Oryzias latipes: one gene and its partners. The protein of the gene in region 1 interacts with the protein of each later gene in a pairwise test. Links are inferred from orthologs where the notes say so. Each region holds a gene or a part of one and is shown in the gene's direction. Other genes may lie near its edges. The genes, in order: wwp2, fbxl18, pdlim7, wipf1, ankrd44 and arrdc1.

Region 1 (4,654 bases):
TTTGCTTGTCCGTTTAAAATGTCAACATCCTGAAAAGATGGAAAAGCAGGCCGCTGATGGTAGCTGCTTTGGTGCTGCGGTTTCAGCAGAGGAGAGGCCTGAATTTAGGTCACATTTCTTCTGGCTCTTGGGTACAGCACAGAAACTCTTTTCCAAGTCCTTTTATTTTTAATTTTTTTATATACCTCATATTATTTTAGGAGTCAGCTGCTGTTGTCTGGATCTGCTCTCACTGATTGTTTTGCCTCCTCCAAGCAGAAAAATACTACTTTTTTTTTTGTTATTTGAGGCAAAAGGATCACGTCCTAATTTATTCTTGGATAAATTATAAATTGAACACTTATTATCCTTTAAAAAATTATTAAAACCTGTTAGACTGTCAATGTGAGAGGAGAATAAAAATCAACAGACTCCATTTATTTTATTTTGAAATGAATATGTAGTGAAAATATCTTACTAAAGAAATAGAAGGCACAAACGGACTGCCACTTTATTAGGAACACCTTGCTAGTACCGTGCTGGACCCGCTTTACCTTCAGAACTGCCTTAATCCTTGGTGGCATTGATTCAACAAAGTACTGGACACATTCCTCAGAGAGGTGGGTCCATATTGACATGACAGCATCACGCAGTTGCAGCAGATTTGTCGGCTGCACATCCCATGATGCCGATCTCCTGTTCCATTACGTCCCAAAGGTGTTCTGTTGGGTTGAGATCTGGTGAATGTGGAGGCCATTTGAGTCCAGTGAACGCATCATCATGTCTAAGATGATTCCAGCTTTATGACACCGCGCTGGTACAAGATGGTACACTGTGGTCAGAAAGGGATAGACATGGTCAGCAACAGTACTCTGGTAGACTGTGGCGGTGGCACCAGGCTTTGTTGGTTGTAACCAGTGGTTCTTTGAGTTCCTGTTATCTTTCTATCAGCTGGAACTAGTCTGGCCATTCTCCTCTGATCTCATTTTGGGGCTATTCTCTGTAAACCCCAGAGATGGTTGTGGGTGAAAATCCCAGAAGATCAGCAGTTTCTGAAATCCTCAGACCAGCCCGTCTGGCACCAACAACCATGCAACGTTCAAAGTCACTTCAACCACCTTTCTTCCTGGTTCTGATGCTCTGTTTGAACTATAGCAGACCGTCTTGACCTTGGCTACATGCCTCAGTGAGTGGACTCACTGGTCACTTTCTTACGCACACCTGTCAAACTGTAGCAGCAACTCGATATAAATATACTTATATATATCTATATATATATATAGATATATGGATATATAGATATGTGTGTGTGTGTTTATATGTTTAACTCTTACCCTCTCGTGGTTCTTGTTGCCCTGCAGTCCAACGCCTTGCCAAGCCACGTGAAGATCTCCGTGTCCAGACAGACGCTGTTTGAGGATTCATTTCAGCAGGTCAGACTGAAAACTACTCTAGGATTTGAACATAGACTAAACAAGTGACGTCAAGTTTCATTTTCCTTTCTCTTGTCCGCTTTCAAAATCATACACTGAAGAAAAAAGCAGAGTATGAGATGTTTTTCGCTTAAAAGTGCCAATGGAAATAGTGAATTTGTGTTAAGATTTCATCTTCAAATAAGTTAGGATGTTCTGGCCTTTGAAGATGGGTTAGACACTCATTGTCAGGTATATTGATTGCTCTTGTAACTGGAAATATTTCAAAACATGATTTAAAATAAAGTACCCCCCCCCCCCCAAAAAAAAATCCTGTGCTATTCCTCGTGCTACAACAGTCCTTATTTCTAAACCTTTTTTTTCTAAAAGTAAGATGAGAATTGGACATAAATTCATATACATAAATGTATGTTTACTTTAAAACTTTGGCATTTTTCTCATTATGTGGAGGACATATATTGTCATTTTTGTTGTGCCGGTCATGTTGGATTACGGATGTGAGGGGCTGTAAGCTAGCAGGATAGAGAGTGAACAGAGAACTATCGGATAAGGGTGATAGGAAGGGGGGGCGGGGCACTCTATGCTAACAGTCCCATCCACAACTCAGGCAAATTTCTAATGATATAGATATTTGGTAAGTACCACAGACAGCAGTCACAAAGTGCTCTACAAGAGGAAAAAAAACACAAATTACAGTTAAAATGCATAAAATAATATAATACACTTAAAAATTTGATGTATTTTAAAATCAAATGACTCAAGATCATTCAATATGTTTTGTCTTGAAAAACAATTGTTACTTCTAACAGAAAAAATTACTAGTAATTTACTAGTAACCTTTTTTTTTTTTTTTTTTACACTTCTCTTCATCAGATCATGAATGTGAAGCCGTACGATCTTCGTCGTCGACTCTACATCATCATGAGAGGGGAGGAGGGGCTTGACTATGGCGGCATCGCCAGGTGAGGAGAAATCCAAACGCACCTCCGCCTTAGCCTTCATTCGCATTCTGTCGTCTTATGTGCCTTCTCTGGTTTTCCTGCATCTCATCCACCTGTGGGTATTCTTTACACAAGCCTCCATGTTTGATGTTGGTGAGGGTGGTGTTGGTGTATGTTTAGCTTCTGCCGCTTCCTCCTCCTCCTCCTATAGATTACATATTTAGGTTTAGTGATGGAGAATGAACGCAAAGTTTATGTTATGCTTTGTTTCATTATCAACTCGTGACTTAAACTATTTTTAGCTTTAAAATTTCAGTCTGTTGTCCCAACATGCACTAGGAGTTGTTTTAATGACCCGATGGTGGCAGCGTTTTCTCAATTTGTTGCCGTAGCGACAGGATGCAGCATCACCGGGTTTATCAGGTTCGACACTAAACCCTGTAATCCTCCTGCTATTTGTCTGAGCTCTGATTAAAGTTTGCTAACTTTTGGAGATCCATGATCCTACAGGTTCTTGTGGCAATCATCCGTTAGCTTCCCCTGTGTTTAAACGCCAGAGTTGAAGGCAGAAAAGCGTCTTCTGTGTAAAGATTCATCCTGTAGCCACACAGGGATGTTTTAGCTTGTTGCAGAACCTCCTCCTCCTGGAGCTCCCTTGTCCTCCCACCATCATCTGTTCCTGTCACGCCTCCTGCTGTCCTTCAGGTCTTCCTCTCTGCATATATTTTTTTTTCTGTTTGTGGTGTTCTCATCGTTCTCCCTTTTGGGTGTTTTGTTTTTTTTTTGTTTTTTTGCATTGTGTCTCTGTCTCCGGTGTCACGTCAGTGGTTTTACCCTATGGTAGGTGACATCATGCTGTTCTACCACAGGGTAGAACCACGGACGGGATGTTGGGAGGTGTCTGCGTCCGTCAGCCCGTCCGTCAGTCCATAACACCCAGCGCTCCGCACGCCCCCCGCGGGTGTGGGCGGGGCTTAAGGAGCGCTGCTGCTGCTGCTGGTGGAGGGGCCTTCATTCTGTCTAACATTCATTCCTCCACAGTTTGTCTAATCTGCTCTTCAGATTCTTCTGCTCTGTCGTTCGTTGGAATTGCTTCAAGACAAACTTTAACACATTTGATCTGATTCTGATCATCTCTTGATGTATTTTTAAAGCGTTCACAGCATTATTTTTTTTTAAATGCCGTTTTTAGCCACAAAAAAATAAAAGGTGTAGTTTACTAGAACATAGTTTCTGCAGAGCAATAGTAGTTTATATGAAATTGAATTGTAGGTGGAACTGTTGGTGCAGAGTAAGCTTTCCTCCCTTCCCATCATCCATCTGTTTGCACGCTCTCTCGTTAGCTTACAGTCCTCACAACCCCAACCGAATATTACCGGTGCAACAAAAATGGCGAGCAATATCGGAGCTAGTCTTTGGTTTTGAGCCAGACGTCAGCTTGAATACGAAAAACAAACTCGTTCACAGATCTATTTGTCTGGTGGATGCATCAAGATGGAGCGGAGCAGGGAGCTTGTGGCTTGCCGTAGTAGCTTCTATGTCACCCAAGTTTTTTCCAATGCCTTTTTTTCTTTTTTTCACTATGGTTTGAATAAAGAATTACTCAGAAATGCAGTTTTAAGTCTTAAGTTTTTCTATATGTGCTCTCCATCATGAGAAAAATGGCTCAAGAACATGTTAAAAACACAATCTTTATGAGAGTGGGAAATTCTTTCTTAGGAATTTGGAAAAGTTGTAACACTTTCGTTTATTTTTGTTTTATTTTCCACTAATGTGTAAAGTTCCTTTTTTATTTTTATCCTTCCATGTTTTACAGGTTTCGTTTTTTTGCTGAATCTCGGACTTTCTATTTTTCTTTGTGTTTCTTATATGGTGTTATCTCCAGACATGTGTTGAGCTTTCCATCCCTTCCCTAAATGAAAATGAAAGCTGTTGTCCTGACGTAAATGATCTTCAGGTTTTTGCTCCGCCCTGCAGTAACGCCGTCTGTCCTCTCGCTCTGCAGAGAGTGGTTCTTCCTGCTGTCACACGAAGTCCTGAACCCCATGTACTGTTTGTTTGAATACGCCGGCAAGAACAACTACTGCCTCCAGATCAACCCCGCCTCCTCCATCAACCCCGACCACCTCACCTACTTCCGCTTCATCGGCCGCTTCATCGCCATGGTGAGCTACTTCCATTTGTTTTTGCTTAAATCTTGAAAAATATTTGTTCTTGCAAACCCAGTTAGCAAAACCTACTTTGGTCCTTCAAATCCTGGAATTTTTAAAGATATTCCAGGATTTCCAGGATTTTATTCTC
Region 2 (5,275 bases), on another chromosome or scaffold:
TTTTTATGCGAATAGTATTTATACAGATCACTAAAATGTGTGTGTTGCCCAAGGCTGGAACAATGCTTTTACTTTCCATAGTGATGCTTCCTGGTTAAACATTTGGAGTGAGGGTGGAGATTAGAGATTTCTTCATCGGGGAGAAATTAAGTTTGCAGTGTTAATGACATCTAAACTTGGCACCCATGCTTAATTTTTTTTTTTTTTTTTTCTCGGGTCTTGTAATCATTTCAAACGATTTTGGGGGGGGGGGGGGGGTAAAGCATCACTACTGAAGAGACTACTTGCCAATTCTTGTGGTGTACATATTAATCTTCAAGGGAAACGTTCAGGCTACTTACAATAACCTGAACTTCCAATTTTTACCTTTTTTCTGTGTGATCAAAGTACACTAGATGAGCCATATCTGCTTTTTAATCTACCTTTTTACTATTTTGAAGTAATCTCAAAACATACTGAAGTAAAGATGTACATCAATGTAAATGTATCTAACTCTGGACGATTGCTCACGACTGGCAAATTAAGAGCCATCCATTAACCCTTGTGCTGTTCTCCCTACCATGATAAAGGTGGAAAGATTTCATGTAATCCATGGACACCAGTGAGGTTCACAAATCATTAAAGAAAAAAGGTTCAGCGCACTGTCTAGTGGGTCTAGATAACTCGACTCTCAATGTTAAAGTGCCTAGGATAGCAAATGTGAATGATGCCATAATTAGACATATTTGTGCTTGTACATACAAACCATGACACAATCTATTAAATGTGAGATTTAAGGTTTAAATGCTTGGAAAGGAGTAGGAGGAAGGGAATTTTATTATTCCACCCTTTATTTGCTTTGCTTTACTTAACTATTTTACTACTACTTTTGTGGTTTGTAAATTCTAATTAAAGACACTATTCCAGAAATTATACCACTATCTTTAAGACCCCCCCCCCCCCATGTATAAAAGTATTTTTATCCGATATTTGGCTTACTAAACAGTTAACAAGAAAGCTATCATGTTCAAGCCTAAAACATTGAGATTACAATGTTAGTATTTCAAAATTAGCAAAACATAGTGTAATATATATATATATATATATATATGAAAATAAAAAACGCCCCTCTCACCCTCCGCGGGTGGTTTCTCCTCCAAGCTTGGGTCCTCTACCAGAGGCCTGGGAGCTTGAGGGTCCTGCGCAGTATCTTAGCTGTTCCTAGCACTGCGCTTTTTCTGGACTGAGAGGTCTGAGGTCTTTCCAGATATCTGTTGTAGCCACTCCTCCAGATTGGAGGTTACTGCCCCGAGTGCTCCAACTACCACAGGCACCACTGTCACCTTCACTTTCCATGCTTTCTCCAGTTCTTCTCTGAGTCCCTGGTATTTCCTCAGTTTCTCATGTTCCTTCTTCCTGATGTTCCCATCGCTTGGCACTGCCACATTCTCCACAACGGCTTTCCTCTGTTCTTTATCCACCACTACAATGCCTGGTTGGTTCGCCATTACCATCCTATCAGTCTGGATCTGGAAGTCCCACAGGATCTTTGCCCTCTCATTCTCTGCCACCTTTGGAGGTGTTTCCCATTTTGACCTGGGGGTTTCCAGTTCATATTCTGCACACATGTTCTGTATATTATTCCAGCCACTTGATTGTGGCGCTCTATATATGCTTTACCTGCCAGCATCTTACACCCTGCAGTTATGTGCTGGATTGTTTCAGGTGCCTCTTTGCACAGCCTACACCTTGGGTCTTGTCTGGTGTGGTAGATCTGAGCCTCTACCGCTCTGGTGCTCAGGGTTTGTTCCTGAGCTGCCAGGATGAGCGCTTCAGTGCTGTCCTGTAGGCCAGCCCTTTCTAGCCATTGATATAGATATACATCCGTGGTCTGTATATCTGTATATCTTCCTTTGGCCGTCTTATTATTTCTGTAGGGTATCTGATAACTAGCAGTGCGTAGCTGTTTATTGCCCGGTTCTTGTTCTTGCCCTTGAGCTGGCTTCTCAGGACTTGCCATACTTGTTGGAGGTATTTGGCTGTTGCAAAATTAATGTTATTTCTTACTTGGATGCAAAACTGCTGTTTCAGAATTTATTTTCTTTGCTTTGGGATCTAAAGTAAAAACGGGGGACGTGGTTCTTGGAAGTTTAATCTTTAAATAAAAAAAATCATCAATTTTGGAATTATAAAACATAACTTCTGATTTAATGTCTACATCAAAAAACGTCTAATTGCTTAAAGGCTACTTTTGTACAATACATCGTCTATGTCGAAATAAGTCAAAACTTTATTCAAATCTTTTTATTTGATGTAAGCAGTATGATTAAAAATAAATGATAGTAACAAACGTGTTAAAGTAATTTATTTAACTTTTTTTTATGAACCACAATAGTACATTTTTATTTAACAGATTACCTTTTACTTGTGAAGACGTGTAAATCACACAATCTTCTTACTTAATGCAATTAATCTCTTAAATGATACTTTATATTTATCTTCTTGGTTGATTTTGATTTTCAAGATTGTTGTTGTAAGATGTTTTTTTCACGTTTGAATAAATAAAAAAAGAAAAAGAAAAAAAAGAATCTACCCTCCGGAAGTCTTTCGCCAATGGGCGGAAGTAGGTCCGTCCTCGAAATAGTTCCGACGTGTTTAGCAGCATTTATGTATGTGTATGTATAATACAGGAGCTTGTAGCTCGTATTTGGAGCAAGCTTTATGAACAATTAAAAAATATATAGTGCGTGAATGGGACAATAAAATCCTACATACGATGAGTGGGACTGTGAGTGCAACTATAGAGGACATGAATACACAAATTGTCCAGGTAAGAGGGTTGCTAAAATCGTTGCAACAATGATTTTTTTCTGCCTGGGAGGGACTGCTTACCATTGACTAGTCTAATTCAGTTAAAAAAAAGGAAAGAATAAAGGTAAATAAATATAAATGAAACAAAAAGTGCTTTGTTTTAGTTAAGCTTTAGATATCACTCTTAAATGGGTTAAATTAGTGCTTCTCTTCTTAGAAGAATACACTCAGACTTGGATTACACAGCCCCACACTGTGACACTATGATTTGGGGTAACTGTAATCCATCTATGATAGAGGGAGCGAACAAAACCGCCCTTGCTTCTTTTGACATTTTTTCTAGAACAGGTTTTGGTACAGTACATCTGTTGTACTTTTGTATTTTATAAAATGTATAATTAACAAACCCTTCGGAGTGCACTCATGTGTTGCCACATCTCATAAGCATTGCAAGGGCAGCTTCATCAACACATTATAATGGCTGAATATGATTTTTTTCTCAGACATCCTGCTTACTTTTTATGTATGGAAGAATATTGTTGTGATTTTGTCAGAAATTAAAACATCAAAGTCGAACCACAAAGTGTAAGAGATAAAGCGCAGTCTCTACGGACAAAATATGGAATAAACAGTTGCTTAATTAGAATTTTATGCATAGTATATTGAAAGCCACTGTGTAACTTTTCCATTGAAGATGTTAACATCTTAAATATTCTTTCAGTGTATTACTGATCTAAAGTTGTATTTTGCATGACTTGCTTTTCTTCTTAGGCTGTACGTGTGGAGGACACAATGTCTTCCGCCTCTGCAGGAATGTCCGACTTGTCCGATGAGATCCTGCTGTGCATCCTGCGTCATGTTCCAGTGTGTGACTTGCTGACAAATGTGGCCAACGTCTGCCAAAAGTTACACACACTGTGCCATGACAAGTCCCTACTCACTAAAGTTAGATTGTCCGAGGAATACCTGGTAAAGAAATTATTTATCCTTCAAAAGTAATGGCGCTTTTCTTGTTTGAAAACTTGTTTTTCAGTTAGTTCTTACGTTTTTATACCTGCATGTAACCCTATATACACTACCAGACAAAAGTTTAAGAGCACTCCAAAGTTTTTAGTTTTTATTAAGATGTATTTAGTGTAATGTCCTGTCACATGTCTGAAATGGTGCAAAAAAGCAACTGGAGTTTCTGTAAAACAAAAAACAAACCATGAATCCTGAATACATACCAAAAGGACCGGCACAGTGCTGCAGAGTCATGCTGCTGTAGAAGTCACTTGCCCTAAATCCAGCTAAACATCCCCCTATAATCACACTTCCCCCTACTTGTTTGCCAGTCACACATTGTGGAGCCATCCTTTCACCTGTTTAACAGTGTGATTGTGCGTGATAAACTAAAGAATTCTAACTTTGTTTCCTCAGTTCACAACACCTTCCAGTCATCAGAGGGCCAGTTTCCTGGCCCTTGCAAGCCTTTTTTTTTATTCTGACACATAGTAATAATAATGATAATAATAACGCTCAAAGCGCTTACAATGTGTCCACTATTCATTCACTCCTCATTCATACTTGGTGATGACAGAGGCGTGGCTGCCAGTTCGCACCTACGGCTCCTCTGACCATCACCGGGACATTCATGCACATTCACACACCAGTGGAGCCACACTGGAGGCCAGGTGGGTGAAGTGTCTTGCCCAAGGAGACAACGACAGTTGACTGGAGGGAGCGGGGATCGAACCGCTGCCCCTTCGATCATTGACCACCAATCACCCTTCTTTTTGACACTTGTCCTGTCAACCCGGCAATTTTGAGTTTTCTTCTTACAGTTTAAACTGAGGTTAGCCTCCTACAACCAATGAAGCTAGAAGGATGCTGTCCTTAAAGCTGTTGTCTCGTGGGCTCCATGTCATGTAGCTGTTAACTCTCAGGATTCAGAATCGACTCTTGGTCTGCCCGACTTCCCTCTGTCAGAGTTTCCCAATGTTTCTGAGGGTCTTTAATTTCTTCTATTGTTGGTTGCCTTTTTCTCGTCATTTTTTAAACAACACATGACATTTTAGTCATATAATAGAAGGATTGAAGCCTACTAAGTGACACAATATGTGCCACAGTGTGTTCCAGCATACTTTTACTCTGAAGGATCTGTTTACGGCTTGATCTATTTCAGTTTAACAAACAGCTTTAAATTATTGATCTGGAAAGGTCTTATTGGTGTAATTCTGAAATGTGCACAACATTTCACTTTAAGGGAGCCAACCTACTAAAGGTACCTTTTGACTTAAATGGAAAATGAAGTGCGATACAAAGCATGAAATAATAAATGTTTTGCAACACATTCTTGTTGTTTAATTTAAGAAATCATTAATTGGTCCATTTCTTTTTTGTTTCAGGCTGATGATCACTTGGTTCGCGTCATACTGAAGCAGCTAGCCAACCGTGTTCAGTGTCTCAGCCTAAACGGCTGTTATTGGCTTTCTGGTTCCACCAT
Region 3 (4,055 bases), on another chromosome or scaffold:
CCTGCTGGGGGCTTTTTCTACTTTACTGCTGATCAGGGAGTTCTTGTCTCACTGTTATTTTTATTTATTTATTTAATTTCCCTGACAGACTTATTCCTGTCGGTGGGGGGTGGGGGGATCACGTGCAGACGAGTCAGAATAATGTGGTTTGTGGAAGCGCAGTTAGAAATGAGTGGAGTAATCACTTTCCTCCCCAGAAACCCGAGTTTGAATGGACAGTTCCATTCCGTCTGTGGCAGGGATACTTGAGCAGTAGAAAAGGAAACTGGCAGAAATTAAAGTGGCTCCAAATCCCAGCGTGCACATTGATTAGTTCCAGCGCACAATGGGAGACCTCTCAGGCCGTGTGAGAGCCCCCCCCCCCCATGATTTCTGCATGTTTCTTGTAAATCTAAGTACAAAGCATCACAGGCCGTCTGTCTTAAATGTTTGATGCAACAGCACTCTGCAGCTGAGAGGATGGGAAGTTTTCCAAACCAAAATAAAGACTTTTATCAGGCTCTTTGTGACAGCTGTGTGAAGCCCGGCTGCAGCGCTGCCGAGGCTTTCTGTCTGGTGAATCGGAGCGCTGCACAGCACAGTCAATCACCGAGTGTGATGTTTTCATCTGCTGTAATGTATTTAGCTGCAGTTTACTCCATGCATCCCTCTGTAGGCAGTTATGAAAGGTGCACGCTCCTCTATTATGCTCTAAATGATTTAGCGGGGCAATGTGTTTCTTACTCAACGCTCAGCCCCTGACGGGTTTTGCTGCTTTATCAGAGGCAGAGGCAGAAACCCCAATCCTCATTTTCTGAATAATGCCTTCAGCTCTGATAAACATTCTGCTGCCTCAGCATCTTGCAGGAATTGTGCCGCTCTCGCTGCCTCTTGAGAAGCTGCGTTATAACCTGACACTTTCCCCAGAGTCCTCGTGATGAAAGAGACTGGCAAATCCAGTCAAGTATTGGGAGCAATTTCCCCCTCCCCTCCTCCTAATCCCCGCATGCTGTGAAGGCACCACTGTTGCTCCAAATATCACACTATCAAATGGCCAATGAGGAGCGGAGCCAGCATTTGGCATCCGCAGCATCTCATCCGCCGTTATTGCTTCCCTTCAATCCCTTAAGTGCTTGTGTGTAGCGTCTTCTCATCTTTAAGGGCGCTAACCTCCAGCTTTTTAAAAAAACATGAAAGGCGAGAGCTCTTGGAGATCCTTTGCGCCGTAACCTCGGCGAGAAGTAAAGTTCTGTTGACATAATTTGGCCTGGTTCTACAGACGTCAAGTCTCCCTGGAATCTGAGTTTCCTCTGTTTCCTCTCCAGACTACGAGAAGATGTTTGGCACCAAATGCCACGGCTGCGACTTCAAGATTGATGCCGGCGATCGTTTCCTGGAGGCCTTAGGCTTCAGCTGGCACGACACGTGCTTCGTCTGTGCTGTAAGTCTGATTGGACCCCTTTTTTTTTTTTGTTTTTAGCCCCAATTTTTCTCCAATCTCAGCAGAACCTGACCCATCTGAGCTCATCTTAGAACCTGGAGCTCTTTCTTCAGTTTGGTTTTTCCTATCTGAGCGTGAAAACAGTCAAAGGAGACGCATGGGTCCGCTCTGGCCCGCACCAAACTGTGCAAATTCCCATTGGCACTGGTGCAGTTTGATATCTCCTCCACCTCGGTTGCTCCATCTGACTCCGTCTGTCTGTCTTCTTTCATCTTTAAAGCTCTGCCAAATCAACCTTGAGGGTAAGACGTTCTACTCGAAGAAGGATAAGCCGCTGTGCAAAAGCCACGCTTTTGCTCCGGTGTGAGAGGAGCCAGCTGCATCTGCAGAAAGAACAACTTCTGCCTCCACCTCCTCTTTACCCCGTTTTGCCCTCTGACACGATCAGCATTGCCAACCACACAGCCACTTCAGCTCAGTCTGTTTTTTTTTTTATATCCTGCAGACTTTATTTTCAGAGGCTTCATTCTGACTTCACATGCTGTCACCTTCTAGGGCTGCTAAAACTCTCCAGATGTCACTTTGTAATTAACATTTTGCTGCTTTACTGGAACTAATCGAGAAATTATTTCAGATCGTCAGCTCTTGATATATATATATATATATATATATATATATATATATATATATATATATATATATATATATATATATATATATATATATATATATAATGCTCAGATTTCATCAATACACTTCTGTACTGAGAGCAGAAAAGCTCCTCCCACAGCGCCTGTAATGCTACTGAACCCGGTTTAGCAGAATATTATCATTGGAATGTTAAACAAAGACTCACATTTTCTCTTTTTTTTCCTCTTTGCTCCTCCCCCTCATGCTCTTGTTCTGATAATAAAGGTCAAAGATCACATGAAACACTAGTTTCATGATGGAATTTATTTCTATGCTTTAATTTTCTGTAGCTTTTATGTTGAAAGTTTCAAATAAAACCCTTTTAGATGCCACACAAACTGAAGAAACTCAATTATTTAAAAACAAAAACATGTTATTTGTGTTTTGACTTGTATACAAATAATTCCCTGTTTTTTTTAATATGTAATTCAAAATGTAATAATGTTCCACATTTGAATCTATCTAATCTAACTGCATGTCATTAATGTTCAGTTATTTCCTAAAAGAAGATTTTAGACTCTTCACTGTTTGGCAGAGATCATGAACTTCACAATTTTCATTTAGTTTTGTTTCCTTCTCTTCACTTTGCACGACTCCTTTAACCTTTCACACGGTTTAATAAACTGGGTTTGTTCGATAAAATACTTCTCGTGTAGGAAAATATTTTTGCAGTTTTTCCACCACATTTAAACATTTTTTTGTTAGTCATTTTTTAAGTTTTTATGGACATTTAAATGAATCATGAGTCCAACGTACACATTGTCCTTTTTTTTTTTACGACTACCCACTAATTATTCATTAAGACTTTAAATCTTCCATTCCAGTTAAAAAAAAATAAAAGAAACAGCTTAGGGGGGAAAAAAAAAAAAAAATAGATGTTTAGCTAAAAAAAAACAAGTAAATTACAAAACGTTAAGTTTGTTTCTAGTTTAAACTACACTTTGTTTTTGTGGTTACAATAGTGTTATACAACCACTGGTAAATTTACAGACTTGGTTTAAACCAACAAATCAAAAACTAGTAAAAAAAAGAATATTTTTATAAACTTAAAGCTTTACAAATCTACCAACTCCCTTTCCAGAATATTCACCCTAACAGCTTCTAAATGTTTGGAAATATTTTCCTTTTCATTTTCCCACTTTTATTCTATATTTAGAGACTGTTGAATATAACATCTGAACTTTAAACATGAATATAAAATACAGAAGTTCTTATAAAATCAAAATAATTAAAGCATCTTAAAATGAAATTTGATATAAATGGAGGTCTTAAGGACAGAATGCGGTGTTCTGTAAGTTTAATAGACTGTTGCTGGAGCTCAGGTTTCTGAGCAGAAGGTGCTTTCATGAAAGCTTCACTATCCCGAAAGGTCAAAGTTCAACAGCTTACATTATAGGAGTTTGATAAATGTGTGTAAGGAAATGATGAATAAACTGCCCCTAAACCTGTGACTAAATACAGAATCTGCATTTTTTTTGGTGAGTCTAATTAAAAACACTTTATAACTTTCCGCCTTGCATATCCTAAACTTCCTGTAATAAAGCTATTTCTATAGAATTTAATATCGACTTTAACAAAAATCACGTTTGGCATCAAAGAGTGTTAGAAGAACCGATCGGAAGAATTACATTTTTCACTTTTGTTCCTTTTTTTGAGGTAGTAGGTTTTGTTTCCTGTTTAGTTGGTTGCATTTTATCCTTTTAACCAGAATTTCTTTTCCTTTTTTTTTTTAACAGTTTGAAGGTAACTTCTGGCTCTTGCGTGAATGCATAAAGTTTTATAAATCCATGAAATTTGTGCAGTAAAGATGTTTTAGCAAATTTTTTTTTTAGCAAAAGTTTCTTTTAACGGACGTCAAAGTGAAATTCCACAAAATGTTTGGTTTAATGTCGACGTTCTTTTTGCAATTAAAGACTCCAGTCCTCGATTTTAGCAATATATAATT
Region 4 (5,424 bases), on another chromosome or scaffold:
GTAAACCGGTGGATGATGGGAAGTGGGGACAGGGTTGCTCCACGCCAACAGTCCTGCCCACAACTCAGAGATGAATTTCTGATGGACTCCTGCCGCTCTGCAGAAACAACGCCCTAGAAAATGATACAGTTTTTAGTTAGTTTTTAATTGTGGCTAAAAAAAAGGCATAATTATAATTAAATTAAGTTAAACAACTGGAAACACTTTGAAAATAGACCAGAAGAGGATCGGAGTGGGACGTTAAACATCATGGTGACATGTCATGGCTACTTCTGACCAGCAGAGGGAGCCCTCTTCCTGTAGATCTGGTTTAGGAAGTCCGAATAAGGGCGGGCGGGAGGTGGGCAGTCTGGTAAAAAGAAATGCAGCTTCGAGTTGACTAAAAAATAAGCAGTCTGTTATTTACTCCCCCCCCCCCCCCCGTTTGATTGTTTCTTGCTTTTGTTTTTTATGCGTAAACCGGCTCCACTGCGGTTCGTATTCAGACCATATTTGGAGGCAGCTGCGCACAACTGACGGTTCCTGTTTGCAAAAGCTGGAGGTTATTGAGAGCATTCCTGTTTTCATAACATTTCAAAATAATGTTACACAAGTTCTTCACTGGTGTTGACTTGGACAGAAGAATACGAACAAGTGCTTCTTTCTTTTAAAAAAAAAGCTTTCAGAAGACTGAAACAGTTTTTTTCTCTTGGCATGCTGCACATCTGGAAACGTTGCATCCCTGCTGTTGAAACCCGGATAAAGAGACTGCACAGCTGCAAAAGCTGCAACCAGAGCCATGTATGCAGGGGTTGAGTCAAGGCTGGACGTCCACTTCAGACACAGAAACGGCCTTTTTAATAATTCATGCTGACTGTTGTTGTTCTAGCTGCTGCAATGTTCTTTCAGGTTCCACTCTTCAGATCACAGTGGGCTACATTAAACAGATCATTAAACATATATGGATTCATCTAAACATTTATTTTGTTATTCCAAAAAACACAACATGATTTAGTAAATTAACAAAAAAAAAAAAATTAGTAGAAGGAAGAAATGCAGAACAACAGATAATAATCACAAATTCATCAATGTACAGCTTAACTTATATGTATTTATATAATTTTATCTTAAATTAATTTTTAAAATGGTTAATGAATAAAAATGGGTCAAACTAAATACAAAATCTAGCCTATGTGTGTATATATGCATGTACACAACAATTGGAAATTCTGTCAATATATTGTTTAGTTTTTCACTTGATTGTGTTTTGATATATTTTAAAGATGTTGTACATTTTCAGTTTTTAATCTTTCATTTTCTTGGGACGTCCAACATCTGCAGAAGAGGATTAGGTTTCTATGCCCTTTTTTTTCCTTTCTCCATGCCCATCATCCTCTTCCATAAAATTCCATACAAAGTTACCTAAAAGTTTTTGCATCAGCAGAAAAAATTACCACCTTAAGATTTAAGGTGGTATTATTCCTCGGATGTAGTTTTCTCCCACATGGGTTAGCAGCTGAACCGGGAGACCTTCAGCAGTGACCTTCAGTGGACTCCTGTGGTCTCCCTTCTCCTCTCCTCTCCTCTCCTCTCCTCTCCTCTCCTCTCCTCTCCTCTCCTCTCCTCTCCTCTCCTCTCCTCTCCTCTCCTCTCCTCTCCTCCCCTCTCCTCTCCTCTCCTCTCCTCTCCTCTCCTCTCCTCTCCTCTCCTCTCCTCTCCTCTCCTCTCCTCTCCTCTCCTCTCCTCTCCTCTCCTCTCCTCTCCTCTCCTCCCCTCCCCTCTCCTCCCCTCTCCTCTCCTCTCAGGCGAGTTCAACCCGTGGCGTCAGGGCTCTGCTTGGCTCCTCTCTGGGATTGGCTGCTGGCGTTTCCTCCACCCGCATAACCCCGCAGAACCCGCCAGTCTCTGAGAGATCACCGGCAGCGCCGCAGACGGAGATCTTCCACAGGTAGGCTAAGACACGATCCCCTGAAGCTCGGCGTGTGGCTGCGGGCGTGGAGGCGCCGAGCAGCGGCGAGCAGAGACTTCAGTCCAGCCCAGAAGTTTCCAGAGCAACTTAGGGGAAGGTGAAGAGGTCAGGACCTCAGGCAGAGGCCTGGGCAGACTGGGGTGCAGGTCAGGATCTGCAGCAGATCACCTCCGCTGACAGAGAAGTCCTGCAGGAGCAGCATGTCTGAGTGGAGCTGAATGTGAGGACTTTGTGTACCAGAGCTGCTGGACTCCTCTGAGGAGACGGAGCGTTCCTCCTGTTCTGTTTAATGGGCCCCAGGATGTAAATGCTAATTCTGAGCAGAACCAAAGTGCTTTTTCACAGAAGACTGAAAGAACCCGCGTAGAGAAGAACTGTAGAAACCAGGAGAGGCCTGCTCTCATCTCCTCTGGCCCGTCCCACTGATGACAGCATGTGACAGTCACACTCTGCTGTTTTGCTCTCATCTTTTCTCTTTATTGGAACTAATTAGAATCTTTTAACATATTACCAACAAATCCCAAAATATCTTAAATCCACATTTACAACTGAAAGATTCGTTTTTTAGTTTTATTTATTTAAATTATTCTTTTAAAGACCCCCCCTCCCTCCAATGAGGAGTGAGGAGCAGAGGAGAGGAGCTGGTGTTCCACATGGGAAAGGCCGTTGATGAAGCGTTTGGGAGGTGACAGTAAACGGTTTCAAGTGCAGAGAATTTCTCTGGTGATGTTTTTTAAGAGAAAGTGAGATTTTCCGAGTCCCGAAGCTGCAGATAAGACAGGAAGAGCCTCACACTGATCCTCTCTCTTTTTTAAGCATAAATACAGTTTCATATCAAGTAATGCTAAGAGGAAGGACACCTTCAGGTCAAATCAAGGTCACACACCCGAGTGTCTCAGATTAGTTCTGCTCTTCAGGCCTGAGATGTGCTCAGGAACACAGAGGGGGTTTATGCCCCCACCCCCCAGTGTCGGTGCGGACCCTCAGCCATGGAGCTGGTTTATGGATGCGGTTAGAGAGGACATGAAGAGGTTTGCTGTCAAAGAAGAAAATAATCCTTTCAACGTAAACAACATGACAGAGATGATCCATTTTAGCATCTTGACGATGATCTGCTGTTTTCTGATCACAGCTGAGCCGCTTTTTTTTCTTTCTATAACTCTGTAATGTTTAAAAAGCAACAGCAAACAGTGGTGGGAGGCTCATGATTTGGTTAAATTAAGGACAAATAGCATTAGCTGTTAATTAAGTTATGTCTTAAAATGAGCAAAAAAAGAGTTTTGTGTCTTTAAAGTAGTTGTATTTTTATAAATCCCCCAAATCTAAAAGGAACACTAGAATTACATCTTTAAATATATTAACATGTCCTTAAAATAATATGTAAATTATGAGTTAAATGAAGCTGTCAATTTTCCCCAAATTAAGCTGTGTGTCTTAGAAAAAAACCACACAGTTCTTACAAATCATAGTAGTAGTTTTAGGGGCTGACATCTGGACGTAGTTTTTTAAAGTTAACAAAGAAAACATTTGCTCAAAAATACAGTAAAAACATATTTTGTCCGATATATTTCTTAAAATTTGATGTTTTCAAGCTCCAGTAACTCAAGATACTCAAGATTTATTGTCCTAAAACAAATCGTCAATGTCGTTACCAAGGATTTAGTTTTGTCTTCTAACAAGTGTCATTAGATGTCGAATGAACAAACATGACAAAAGTACTCGATGAGAGTTTGTGTTTTGCAGGGATGAAAAGGTGTCAGGCCAGATGTCATAGGACTTTTATGTCTTTGTGAATTACGTCTTGTCTTTCAGTGTTGCCTGAAATACTCGTCTTAAAGTGCTGCTTGTTCTTGCATGGCAGCAACAAACACCGTAGTGGAAGCAGCGGTCCCACTACAGAGCCCTGTGGTACACCATGACTGTTTTTAGAGTGTGGGAAATACAAAGATGACATCAAGCAGCCTAAAGTTGGTTCTGTTAATGTTGGGTTCAGTAAAGCCTGACGTCCTACGAGCTGAAATTATAATTCATCTGAATTTTGACCTAATTTAGTAATTGAAACGAATCCTTCATTTCTTGGGTTATTTAAAAAATAGGGCGAAAAAAGTAAACAGATGGGTCAAAAGTGAATAAACATGTTTTTGAGGATATCTCTGAACATTAGGAAACAAAGACACTTAGAGGCCAAGTTCAGTTTAAAAGCAAAATGAGTTACAGTTACTCAAATGCATCAAAGCAAATGTAATTTAGACAACAACAAACCTCCTCTCTTGATTTTTGTCAAATCAGAAATGAATTGTGCATCAGATAGTGAAATGTTTCATTATTTTAGCAGTACTACCCATGCAGCCCCACCAGACAGTGGCCAGAAACTTAATGCACACATTTGTGGTGCTTCAGCGAAAACGTACACGGTAAAAAACACACAACTGTCATTTAGTTTGATGAGAATACATCTAAAGTTACTACTTTTTGACACTCTGTAGAGTTAGATTTTTTTAATAGTAGAGTTTTAAGATGAAATATATTTTTTTCCTTTTCTACCAGCAAACTCGTTGCTGTTCATTCAACTATTTAAAGTGTCATTCCGATCTTTAAAAGTGTTCCCAGTGGTCTTTCGATGATGACGGTGCCATTTTCAGACACATTTAAAAAACCTGTGTCGTTTTCTATAGGACATAGTTTCTGCAGAGCGGCAGGAGTTCATTAGAAATTCACCTCTGAGTTGGGGCGGGACCTTTTTTTGCTTCTGATTTACAATAAAGAAATGTTCAGAAATTTAATTTTAATCTGGATTTTCTTTATAAATGTCCTCCACCATTGGAAGAATGTCACTTTAGCAGCTTTTTGGTAAACAGATGCAGATGAAAGAAACCAGACTTTCAGGTTTACATTTAATTTCCTTTTCTGACTAACAGATTCTTTCAGCGCTCATTAGAACAGGAAATTATTCACAAGAAGCTTCACACTTTTTTTTATCATTCTGGACTGAGTTAATCAATCGTTTTGCTCTGCATGCAATAATACAAAGAAGTTAGAAAAGGGCTGGTGTTTTTTTTATTTTCTTGTTTGAATACCCACTCCAGTGGAAATGTTACTTTAACGTGTTCGTGTAGCATTATTCTCATGCATTTCTGAGTATTTCTTTATTCAATTTGTTGTGAACCAGGAGCAGAGAAAAGAAATGCCGTTTAAAAATGCTTGTAGTTATGTAATATCTAAAATTAACTGTCCCACAGTCTCTCTGCTCTGCTCCATTCTGATCATCCACTGTCAGACAAAGAGATCCATGAACGTCTTTGTTTTCCCCGTCTGAGCTGGAATCTGGATCTAAACTGGACGGCTGGACAGCTCTCACCTTGGTTGCTATTTTTGTTGTACCAGTAATGTTAGGTTGGTGGTGTGAGGGGCTGTTAGCTAGCAGGACAGCATGTAAACAGAGAGCTCGGTGGGTGACATGAAGTGGCACCGGGATT
Region 5 (5,417 bases), on another chromosome or scaffold:
ACTGTGGTCGAAGGGTTGAACAGAAAATCTACCTGGATGAAGCCACTGGCTTTCTTGGAAGAGTCATAAGAACCACGAAAAACACAGAAACAGAACAAAGAAGTGAAACTGAGGCATCGAGGCAGGATAAAAAAGGGTGACATTTACCGTCTGCAAAGGGGTCAAGGCGCTCAGGCGAAATGATCATCTGTCTGCGACGAGCTTTGTATTCATCTTCCCGATCTGCGATTTTCGGCGCGCGATGCTCTGCGAATGGGTCGTACTGCAAAATGGAGACAGAAATGAGGCTCTGATCCAAAGTCCTGGAAAGAAGGTGCACCTCCTGTCATGTTAAGGAACACATACATGTTCATCTGACTGGGGAATGGAGTTGAGCATTGCCACTGGTGCATGGTAGCCTGGCTTCTTCTGTCCCAACAAACTTGTCGATGTGTCATCTTCATCATCCTAAAGACAGAAAGAGAAACAAGAGTCTAGTCAAATCTCGCCAAAGCGGCAAGACTCTCCTAGCTCACACAAGACAAGCACGGTGGGAGCAGACTGAAAACTGCAGGTAAAACATCTTTACTTACATCTTCCTGCTCATTGGCTGCAATGGAAGTGACATATCCCACAAAACGACCGTCGCTGCCTCCATAGATCTCCTGGTCGTAAAAGCCAGTGGAGTCCAGGCCCACTCCCTGACCTGCATCCTCTTTCAGGGAGGCCTTCATCCCCTGGATCTCCAGGATCTGCGCCTCAATATCTAAGCACCCAAGTAAAAATACATGTGGGAATGAATATACATTACATTTTTCAACAATATTTTATTGTTAAAACTGGATTTGTGGCCATGTGGGTTTTTCGTAAAAATAAAAAACCACAACAAGTTATGGAAAGCTTCAATGTCAACAATTAATGACACTTTTTTTAGTCAACTTCATTAGTTACAAATAGCAAAGCTGTAGAAAAATGATCTTAAGTCGCATAATAAACGGGGGGGGGGGACTTTTGAGTTTTTTGATTGACTTTTTAATTGAAATCGGCTAAATTTGTAAATGTAATTTCATGCAACAAGCGCGCTCCTGAACAGTTTTCTCGCTTAATGATGAATCAATCCTGAACAGCAGCTCCAGCCTGGTCTTTTGTTTACACACCAAAAGCTGAGCCTGATCGCTCCAGCACGCGCCCATTGCTGATCACACGTTAAACGAAAGATTGGGCTTTTGTTACAAACGCACGTTGCTGACATTCATCCCGCGGTTCTTCGTGAACTAAACGGCCAGGTTTGCACCCAAAACACCGCAGACTGGTTTCGATAGGATGATCGGTTCTTTGCCACAGAAGAACCACAAAGATTCACACAAAACCGTTTTGCACTGCAAAATCGTTCATTTGCACTGCAAAAACATTTTGTGCAAATAGCACGGCGAAGTTGGTCACGCTGCGTGTTCGCGTTAAATATGCTAATCTACAGGACAAAGAAAACCAAACAACTGCAGATAACAAACTAACAAATAAAATACCAATATACACAGAACTCAACGGCTTAGCGCAGTAACGTGAACTATTTCACGGTAGCAAAGGTGCTGTGTGAGGCTTCAGCTCGCTTGCTAGCAACCGGCGCCATTATGTAAAATGTCCGCGTTGCGTCGTCACAGGCCGCCTCGTTTTTTATGTTTTTGTCGGCCACAAAGCACAACTTCAAAAAACATTTGACACCACAAAACGCATACATTATTTAAAAAAGCAAAAGAGCTGAAGAGAGGGCCACACACAACGTATTCACAGGTTTTCGTGATATTTTACCTTCGTGTGTTTTGGCGATCTTCGCCATCTTGACGGTGGTTGTTCGAGACTGACACCGGAAGTGCGTCACCTCTTCTTCCGCCTCTTTTAGCCAGCACGACAGAGAAACGTTATTATTATTATTATTATTATTATTATTATTATTATTATTATTATTATATTAAGTCAGCTTTATTTTTAAATGTACTGAATTTTACAAGATCTACAGCACAGATGAAATTTCTTTCCTCTCAACCCACTGTGCAAACAGCCTATAAAAAACAGCAACAATAATAATAAGTATTATAATTATCATTATTCACCTTGTTGAATAATGATTATAAGTATGTATTTTTCTCTATTATTGTATATAATTTTTTAACTTAACTTTATTCATGTTTACGCTCACTGCCCCCTCAGCGGCTCATCACGCGTGGCCGCTAGGGGCAGCCGCGAGCGGCGCCCCGCGCGTGGCCGCTAGGGGCAGCAGCGAGCGGCGCCCCGCGCGTGGCCGCTAGGGGCGGCAGCGAGCGGCAACCCGCGCGGCCGGTGATGCTGCTGAGGAAGCTCCACTTCTGAATCTGACAGGCGGACGCTGCCACTTCCTGTGCGCTCTGCCTTCAGCCCGCTGTCTCCCCAGATCCCTTCACTGCACCCAGGGCGGACGGAGGCTTCCGCGTGCTCCGTAAAGCTCCCAGAGCCGCGCGGCATCTCCGACCAGCGGCAGCCGTAGATGCGGGTTGTTTGCGGCGGCGGCTCAGACCTGTCCCGCCTCCCTTTGACTCTGCGCGGCCGCCGCGTTCTAGCGGCGCCGCGGATAGCGTCCGTGGAGCAGGGCTGATGGCCGTGGAGCCCGGCACGGCCTTCCTCACAACAGCAAGCACCGGTTACCCACGAGCCTCGTAGACGCCGCTGCAGCCCCGGTCCAGGCGGACGCTTGCCGCGCAGCATCGCTCCGTGCAGGTCGCAGCGGCTGACCCAGAGATGGCGGTCCTCAAGCTGGCCGATCAGGTAGGGTGCGCTAGCCACCGTTAGCTTAGCCTCCGAGGCGCCGCTCAGCATCCCGCCCGGGTCAAAGCGGAGCTCGGTTCCGCCTCTGAGGGGACGGACCGCGGCGCAGACGGAGAAGAAGAACTTCCGCAGAAAAAAGTTCAGCTCGGAAGGTTTTCACCGCTCATTTCAAGCGGAACCTTTTCTTCATTGATTCATCTGATAAAAACGGGTCTGTGGGCTAGAACTAAACCAGAACCAGAACCAGAACTGCGGGGGAAACAGGCAGAAGCAGAAATAGAGGAAAACCTCCAGTGTCTCACTTCAGTGTTTGTGTCATCATCACTACTGATAACCGCAGATGTTACTGACAGCAGGTCTGAAATGTGAGGAATGCTGCAGGTGACATCCTGGCTCCTCCCCTCACCTGCATCCAGGTGTTGGATCAAAGACGGCAGCTGTCCTCAGAAAAGCTCAGTGGCACATGAAGGTGCTCTGCTGGGGTACCTGATGACGTCACAGTTCTTCAGGAACAGCTGCCGGTAGGCCCCTCAAAGAGTGTGCTGTCACACCGTCTTCCCTGGGGGGTCCTCACACTACAAGAGTTTGGAGAGGAGGGTGCAGCTCTCTGATGCCACCAAGGGCCCCCACCTTCAAAGTTCATTACTGTTTTATTGCATTGGATTTACATTTGTGTCCCCTGTCAGTGGGGCCAACACGGCCAGGCTCCTATGCAGTTTCTCACATGGTCCATGTATGTTGTACTTTCACACACGGTCCATGTATGTTGTACTTTAACACACATGGTCCATGTATGTTGTACTTTCACACACGGTCCATGTATGTTGTACTTTCACACACGGTCCATGTATGTTGTACTTTAACACACATGGTCCATGTATGTTGTACTTTCACACACGGTCCATGTATGTTGTACTTTCATACACATGGTCCATGTATGTTGTACTTTCACACACGGTCCATGTATGTTGTACTTTCATACACATGGTCCATGTATGTTGTACTTTCACACACGGTCCATGTATGTTGTACTTTCACACACGGTCCATGTATGTTGTACTTTAACACACATGGTCCATGTATGTTGTACTTTAACACACATGGTCCATGTATGTTGTACTTTAACACACATGGTCCATGTATGTTGTACTTTCACACACGGTCCATGTATGTTGTACTTTCATACACATGGTCCATGTATGTTGTACTTTCACACACGGTCCATGTATGTTGTACTTTCACACACGGTCCATGTATGTTGTACTTTAACACACATGGTCCATGTATGTTGTACTTTCACACACGGTCCATGTATGTTGTACTTTCATACACATGGTCCATGTATGTTGTACTTTCACACACGATCCATGTATGTTGTACTTTAACACACATGGTCCATGTATGTTGTACTTTCACACACGGTCCATGTATGTTGTACTTTCACACACGGTCCATGTATGTTGTACTTTAACACACATGGTCCATGTATGTTGTACTTTCACACACGGTCCATGTATGTTGTACTTTCATACACATGGTCCATGTATGTTGTACTTTCACACACGGTCCATGTATGTTGTACTTTCATACACGTGGTCCATGTATGTTGTACTTTCACACACGGTCGATGTATGTTGTACTTTAACACACATGGTCCACGTATGTTGTACTTTCATACACATGGTCCATGTATGTTGTACTTTCACACATGGTCCATGTATGTTGTAGTTTTACACACGTACCATGTATGTTGTACTTTCACACACGGTCCATGTATGTTGTACTTTCATACACATGGTCCATGTATGTTGTAGTTTTACACACGGTCCATGTATGTTGTACTTTCACACACGGTCCATGTATGTTGTACTTTAACACACATGGTCCATGTATGTTGTACTTTCATACACATGGTCCATGTATGTTGTACTTTCACACATGGTCCATGTATTTTGTACTTTAACACACATGGTCCATGTATGTTGTACTTTCACACATGGTCCATGTATTTTGTACTTTCACACATGGTCCATGTATGTTGTACTTTAACACACATGGTCCATGTATGTTGTACTTTCATACACATGGTCCATGTATGTTGTACTTTAACACACATGGTCCATGTATGTTGTACTTTAACACACATGGTCCATGTATGTTGTACTTTCACACACGGTCCATGTATGTTGTACTTTCATACACGTGGTCCATGTATGTTGTACTTTCACACACGGTCGATGTATGTTGTACTTTAACACACATGGTCCACGTATGTTGTACTTTCATACACATGGTCCATGTATGTTGTACTTTCACACATGGTCCATGTATGTTGTAGTTTTACACACGGTCCATGTATGTTGTACTTTCACACACGGTCCATGTATTTTGTACTTTCATACACATGGTCCATGTATGTTGTACTTTCACACACAGTCCATGTATGTTGTAGTTTTACACACGGTCCATGTATGTTGTACTTTCACACACGGTCCATGTATTTTGTACTTTAACACACATGGTCCATGTATGTTGTACTTTCATACACATGGTCCATGTATGTTGTACTTTCACACACGGTCCATGTATTTTGGACTTTCACACATGGTCCATGTATTTTGTACTTTAACACACACGGT
Region 6 (5,334 bases), on another chromosome or scaffold:
AAGACACGCCAGAACAATGAATCTTCTATTCTCCACTAGAGGGCGCTATTACATTAGCTGTTACATGCTTTAATATCAGGAAAAATATCTTCAAGATATTTACTGTTTGACTAAACTCCAAAACAAATGAATTTTTTATCGAATCCCAGAACTTGGAGCTGACGTGGATCCACCTCAGGACTGAAAGACAAACCTGACATCACATCCTGTTTCAAGAATCTGTCAGAGCACCCTCACATGTCTTTGGCCTTTTTTTCATTCATTCATTCATCTTCTTCCGTTTGTGCCTTTTGGGGTCACGGGCCTGCTGGAGCCTATCCCAGCCACTCATGGGCGAAGGCAGGGAACACCCTGGACAGGTCGCCAGTCCATCGCAGGGTGTCTTTGCCCCCCCCCCCCCCCCCCCCCCAAAAAAAAAAAATAAGCAACAACAACAACAAAAATGAAGGGGCTCTTAAGCCCTGATCAGATGTTACCACATGCAAGATTACCATGGATACAGCAGTCTCTTGGCAACAGTCCCGTTTGTCTGTCGTCATGGAAATGCCGGTCCTTTAGTTTAGAGGAAAAAAACAGCTAAAAAAGATAAATCTGATAGGATGGTGGAAAGTAAAAATTAAAAGGAGAAAAGTCTGTTCCTGCGTATTTGGCATCACGTTTAGATTTGGACGTTTTGGATATCGAGAGGAGGAAACAAGCATCTCTGTGCACCTGCAGCTCCAGCTGCTGATGTGAGACGACAAGTACAGTTTCAGCCAGGAAGCACCGCTAAGACAACTTAGCCCTCAGAAACGGAAAGAACATTTGAGTTCCTGCAAACTTTAGAAAGATGAGAAAACTGTTGTTTTTCTGTGGCAAAAAAAGAAAGAATTGTATTAAACATTTACAATAAAAATCCCATTGATTGAAACCTTTACCTTTGATCAGTCTGAGGCCAACGCTGTCCGTGTTTGTGAGGATGAGTCCAACATGAATCCAATTTAAAGGCTCACTCTGAGGAAAACGGTGTTTTTAACATGTTATTGTGGCATTTTTCTGATGATGAGGACATTTATGGTAAGTGGAGTGCCCTCATATACCACTTTCCTACCCTCTCAGAAAGCCAGAAGCACTTAACAGTCACACTCGCCCACACACACACACACACACACACACACACACACACACACACACACACACACACACACACACCCACACACTGCTGCTGAACACTGGCATCAACCTATGACCACCAGCAGCAATGTGAGGTTCAGTGTCTTGCTCAAAGACTCTTCGGCACATGGGTGGGAACCGAACCTGCAGTGTTCCGATCAGAGGTCGACCGCTGTACCTCTGCTCCACAGCCGCTCCAACCATTTAAAGAAAAATAAAATAAAAACTACATTTCTGAGTATTTCTTTATTCAAGGAGGGGAAGGGTAAGAGTGCTATTAAAAAACAACAAATGAGGAACATTTGTTTTTCTCAAAATACTCCAGAGATTATGAAATGTTTTTGGTTATTTCCTATAGTCTTGCCTTGGTATTTTGTTTTATTTTATTAACATTTTATTACTAAATATATAAATATAAAAGTTATTTGCCAACATGATTCTTGAGGTTTTAACTAAAGTAACTTATTTTCTCTTTTTAAAGGATCATATTACAAACATTTTATGAATAAAGTAGCCGGCCTAACACCAAAACTGAACTTTTTTGGTTTAAAATTAACATTTGTAAATTAACATTTGTAAATTAACATTTGTAAATTAACATTTGTAATATGTTTTAGATAAAAGCAGGAGCACCTACTAATGCAGATATATGTTTATTTTATGTTTTGTCTTTTTTCTACATTAAGAAACTCCATCATTTGCATGTCCTGACAGGAACTGAGTTGCTTTTAGCTCCTTCTCAGTTTCATTTAGTTATTTATTTTCAGGTTAAACTTTGATCAAACAGGAAGGCCTGCTGTGGAGTAAGGCGCCTGTAGTGAGGACACACCTGTCTGCATTCAGCGCTTCTACGTCCAACACCTAAAAAGCTGAAAGGTGCAGAACCCACCTTCCCGGCTGACGTCACAATCCAAGACCCATAGAACCAACCAAGTCCCACTCGAGAACGGAGATTAGAGTCGGATGACGTCACAGTATCAAAAAGCACCTGTGGCAGGTATGACCGTGAGGGGATTCCGGTGAAGTTTGTGGGTCTGTTTCTGAGGCAGAATCGACTCATTTGTCCGTTAACGTTTGTCCCTGAGCTCGCGGCTGGGATTCGGAGGAGGTCACGGTGACGTCACAGTCCCCGTGGAGGGCGGAGAGCAGCTCGCGGCAGCAGGTGAGCGCGCGGCAGAGCGGAGAGCAGAGCCATGGGGAAGCTGCAGGAGTTTGACATCTTCTACACCAACAACAAGGTGGTCTACGGTCCGGGGGAGTCCGTCAGCGGGGTCGTGAGGATCCGGACCAGCAGCGCGCTGCATTACAAAGGTACGGGGGAGGGGGGGGGGGGGGGTGCTGGGCTGCGCGCGCTTCCGCTAGCGGCGCCTGTGCATCACTCAGTCGGTGAGGTGAAACTTTTGCCTCGCGACGGTGCAGGGATGGGAGCGCGCGGCTGAAAAGCTGCTGTTGTAAAGTTTCTGCTAAACGAGCGAGCCTGCTGGGACGGGCTGTTCTTTAGCGCGGATGAATCTCCCAAAAATAACAACAAGCGATCAGGTGGTGGTGGTGTGTGTATGTGTGTGTGTGTGTGTGTGTGTGGGGGGGGGGGGGGGTAAGGACACCGGAACTTCTGAATTCTGGGTTCAAGGGGAAACTCGGTTCATGTAGTGTAAAAGAACGAGTCCGTGCGCACTTCCTACAGGCGGAGGGTCTGTCTGTCTGTCTGATAGTTTTTTGTTGGTTTATGATCGGCTCTCCTCTTTGTGCTCTTCTGTGTTGGGCTGCGTGATGCTCTTTAAAATACCAGCTCCACATTGTAACTTTTTGGCATTCAGAGACAAGCCCATATGACCAGCACTCCACCACCATGCCTGACAGATGGGAGGCAGAGATTTCCCCAAAAATTGTTTGAGGACAGAGACGATGTGACTCAAGCTGAACCTGAAGCTCAGTCTGCAGGTGTCTTTTAACCCCCCATCCTAGGAGGTTACCTAACTGCTTTTTACTCAGTTTGATGCATTTGCCTGATTCTGACACAATAATTATTTGAAATCAAAACCCGGAAATATAGAACAGACAGAGTGAGCTTTCTAAGACATCGGATTCCTTTTTAAGATCTTTCTCCCAAACCTGTAGTCATAAGGAGGATAGCAGGTTGGAGGAAACAGAGGGTCCATTGTGTGAGGTGACCCTGGTCAGACTGAGGCGCCCCTCAGTGGCAGGCAGGTACAAAGCCCCTGCCACCAACGGGGACTGCAGGGACGGAAATCCAATGATGGAGCTTTTCTTCATGGCGGAAAGTCCCGAACTGCAGAGGGATCGTCTGTTACGACCTGATCTGAGGCCCACCACTCCGTTCACTGCAGGAGGAGTTGATCTAAAACTGATGCATTTGATGTGCTGTGGCAACATGGAAAAGACCCCCAAAAGAATGATTTACTTCAGTTATAGCAGCTAAAGCTGCTTGATTTGAACAAAAGATTGAAGAGAATCTTACTCAAGCCGCACATGGATACCAAAGATCACTGTTGTCGGCTAATCCAGTGGTCCCTGGGCTGTGGACCAGTACCGGTCCGAGGGACAGTTGGTAAAAGCACAACCTACCCCCCCCCCCCCCTCATTTTATTTATAATCTGATTCTGAAGGAAGTTTTATTTTGGAACACTACTGGGTTCTCTCCACCACATCCAACTCGTTCTTGAGTTGGATGTTCTGGATTTTGACTCGGTCACGTGTACAAAACCCTAAAGCGGCTGCCGCTAAATTGAAACTCCAAGCTAGCAAAATAACCAAAAAACGTATTTGGAAAGTTCCAGTGGGGAAACAGAGGAAGAGCCTTCAACTTCAAAATAAAAATAAATCTGCATTTAAGACAGAAACTAGGAGTCTTTTCTCAGAAAAGGATTTATTGTTATTTTTTTTCAATAATGCAGAATACTCATCAACCAGCTGTTTAATGTTATGGATATCATAGGTCTGATTCGCATATTTGGTTTGGCAAAGACTTTACATCAGATTCTGTTCCTGACACAACCCTCTGTCTTTATCCGGGCTTGGGACCAGCACAATGGGACCCTGGCTTGGGCCCCGTCGTGGCTACATTTCATTTGGAAAAACAAAACCCAAACATTTATTTCAAATAATATTTTAAATAAAGTCCTTATTAACTATCTAAATCCAAGGTTTTACTCCCATCATAGTGTATTCCAATGATTTTTATGCTTTCTGAAAATAAACCTGGTAACTAAACAGGAAGTTTTTTTTAATACTTTTGTGATTTTTTATTTATGCCAACAAATAGAAATATCAATCTGCTGGGATTTGAGAAGACAGAAAATAGACAAACACCAGATGATCTGTGTAAGACAAAACCGCCAAGTCAGTAACTGCAGCAGTGGGAGAACAGAGAGCAGATAAGCATCAAATCGCTGCAACATCTGTTTAAAACAAACTGCAACCATGACCCTGCAGTGGAGCAGACGGAGGAACCAGTTCATCCTCTAATCTAGACCACAATGCACTGTGTTGGAACGATGCGCCATTTGAAAAAAGTGTATGGAAGTACGTTTTTTATTTATCCGTCTCTGCTAAAGGCTCATATTTAGGGTTTTACTTTGGCAAATTGGTGACATTTGAGGGGAAAGGTAATGAGGTTGTGTCTGAACTGCAATAAAATCCAGGGCACTAGATAGTCCCGCACTAGTCTTTTTGGGGTTAGGTAGTGGGGAGGGGGTTCAAACACAGTTAAGAAGACGAGTTAAAGTTCCTCCAGTGTTGTGGGAAAGTGTTGTTGCTTTTTATTGAATTAAAAATTAATTTCTTTTGGTATCAATTCCTTCAAAGAATAAATTCCCCATTATGGCTCACCCTGGTCTGCAGGTGTGAGTTTGGTGGAAAGGTTGGTGTCAATTATCTTCTCAGTTCTGTAAATGCATTGGTGTGTGTTGCTGCTTTTTGTTAATTAAAAGCAACAATGGTTGTGTACGTGCTGAATGAAGCTGAGGCGTGTCTGTAGTTTAGTCGTTTCTTTCGGGTCTCCTCGTGTCTCCTCGTGCTCGGGTCACGCCCACTTCCTGTCAGAGAAGGATTCATCCAGAGGAAATATGCAAACAGCATGAAGCTGCAGCACAGCGTGAAGCTCTTTACTGCTTTCTGTACCCCGAATGTGACTTTAGACCGTAATGGCCACCTGCCTGTTTT

The links.
Region 2: the proteins of wwp2 (region 1) and fbxl18 interact in a two-hybrid assay, tested with the Homo sapiens proteins (3 studies listed by BioGRID and IntAct). The link is inferred for Oryzias latipes from reciprocal best matches to the Homo sapiens genes WWP2 and FBXL18.
Region 3: the proteins of wwp2 (region 1) and pdlim7 interact in binary tests that used the Homo sapiens proteins (3 or more experiments, as listed by UniProt). The link is inferred for Oryzias latipes from reciprocal best matches to the Homo sapiens genes WWP2 and PDLIM7.
Region 4: the proteins of wwp2 (region 1) and wipf1 interact in binary tests that used the Homo sapiens proteins (3 or more experiments, as listed by UniProt). The two-hybrid records come from large-scale screens. The link is inferred for Oryzias latipes from reciprocal best matches to the Homo sapiens genes WWP2 and WIPF1.
Region 5: the proteins of wwp2 (region 1) and ankrd44 interact in binary tests that used the Homo sapiens proteins (3 or more experiments, as listed by UniProt). The two-hybrid records come from large-scale screens. The link is inferred for Oryzias latipes from reciprocal best matches to the Homo sapiens genes WWP2 and ANKRD44.
Region 6: the proteins of wwp2 (region 1) and arrdc1 interact in binary tests that used the Homo sapiens proteins (3 or more experiments, as listed by UniProt). The link is inferred for Oryzias latipes from reciprocal best matches to the Homo sapiens genes WWP2 and ARRDC1.

What each region holds. Positions count from the first base shown.
Region 1 is NC_019864.2:27,508,518-27,513,171, forward strand, and holds part of wwp2 (NEDD4-like E3 ubiquitin-protein ligase WWP2), read left to right. Parts: intron 1-1,340; coding exon 1,341-1,412; intron 1,413-2,285; coding exon 2,286-2,374; intron 2,375-3,158; exon of another isoform or gene 3,159-3,253; intron 3,254-4,358; coding exon 4,359-4,518; intron 4,519-4,654. UniProt on the Homo sapiens protein: E3 ubiquitin-protein ligase which accepts ubiquitin from an E2 ubiquitin-conjugating enzyme in the form of a thioester and then directly transfers the ubiquitin to targeted substrates.
Region 2 is NC_019859.2:22,450,018-22,455,292, reverse strand, and holds the start of fbxl18 (F-box/LRR-repeat protein 18), read left to right. Parts: upstream 1-1,841; 5' UTR 1,842-2,755; coding exon 2,756-2,809; intron 2,810-3,561; coding exon 3,562-3,759; intron 3,760-5,177; coding exon 5,178-5,275. UniProt on the Homo sapiens protein: Substrate-recognition component of the SCF (SKP1-CUL1-F-box protein)-type E3 ubiquitin ligase complex.
Region 3 is NC_019868.2:19,511,287-19,515,341, reverse strand, and holds the end of pdlim7 (PDZ and LIM domain protein 7), read left to right. Parts: intron 1-1,304; coding exon 1,305-1,420; intron 1,421-1,700; coding exon 1,701-1,787; 3' UTR 1,788-2,752; downstream 2,753-4,055. UniProt on the Homo sapiens protein: May function as a scaffold on which the coordinated assembly of proteins can occur. May play a role as an adapter that, via its PDZ domain, localizes LIM-binding proteins to actin filaments of both skeletal muscle and nonmuscle tissues.
Region 4 is NC_019873.2:4,905,368-4,910,791, forward strand, and holds the start of wipf1 (WAS/WASL-interacting protein family member 1), read left to right. Parts: upstream 1-1,805; 5' UTR 1,806-1,927; intron 1,928-1,955; exon of another isoform or gene 1,956-2,094; intron 2,095-5,424. UniProt on the Homo sapiens protein: Plays a role in the reorganization of the actin cytoskeleton. Contributes with NCK1 and GRB2 in the recruitment and activation of WASL.
Region 5 is NC_019879.2:182,765-188,181, forward strand, and holds the start of ankrd44 (serine/threonine-protein phosphatase 6 regulatory ankyrin repeat subunit B), read left to right. Parts: upstream 1-2,278; 5' UTR 2,279-2,751; coding exon 2,752-2,778; intron 2,779-5,417. Other genes in the region: sf3b1 (splicing factor 3B subunit 1), read right to left, coding at 148-262, 346-447, 573-745, 1,789-1,816. UniProt on the Homo sapiens protein: Putative regulatory subunit of protein phosphatase 6 (PP6) that may be involved in the recognition of phosphoprotein substrates.
Region 6 is NC_019870.2:26,761,597-26,766,930, reverse strand, and holds the start of arrdc1 (arrestin domain-containing protein 1), read left to right. Parts: upstream 1-1,809; 5' UTR 1,810-2,345; coding exon 2,346-2,463; intron 2,464-5,334. UniProt on the Homo sapiens protein: Functions as an adapter recruiting ubiquitin-protein ligases to their specific substrates. Through an ubiquitination-dependent mechanism plays for instance a role in the incorporation of SLC11A2 into extracellular vesicles.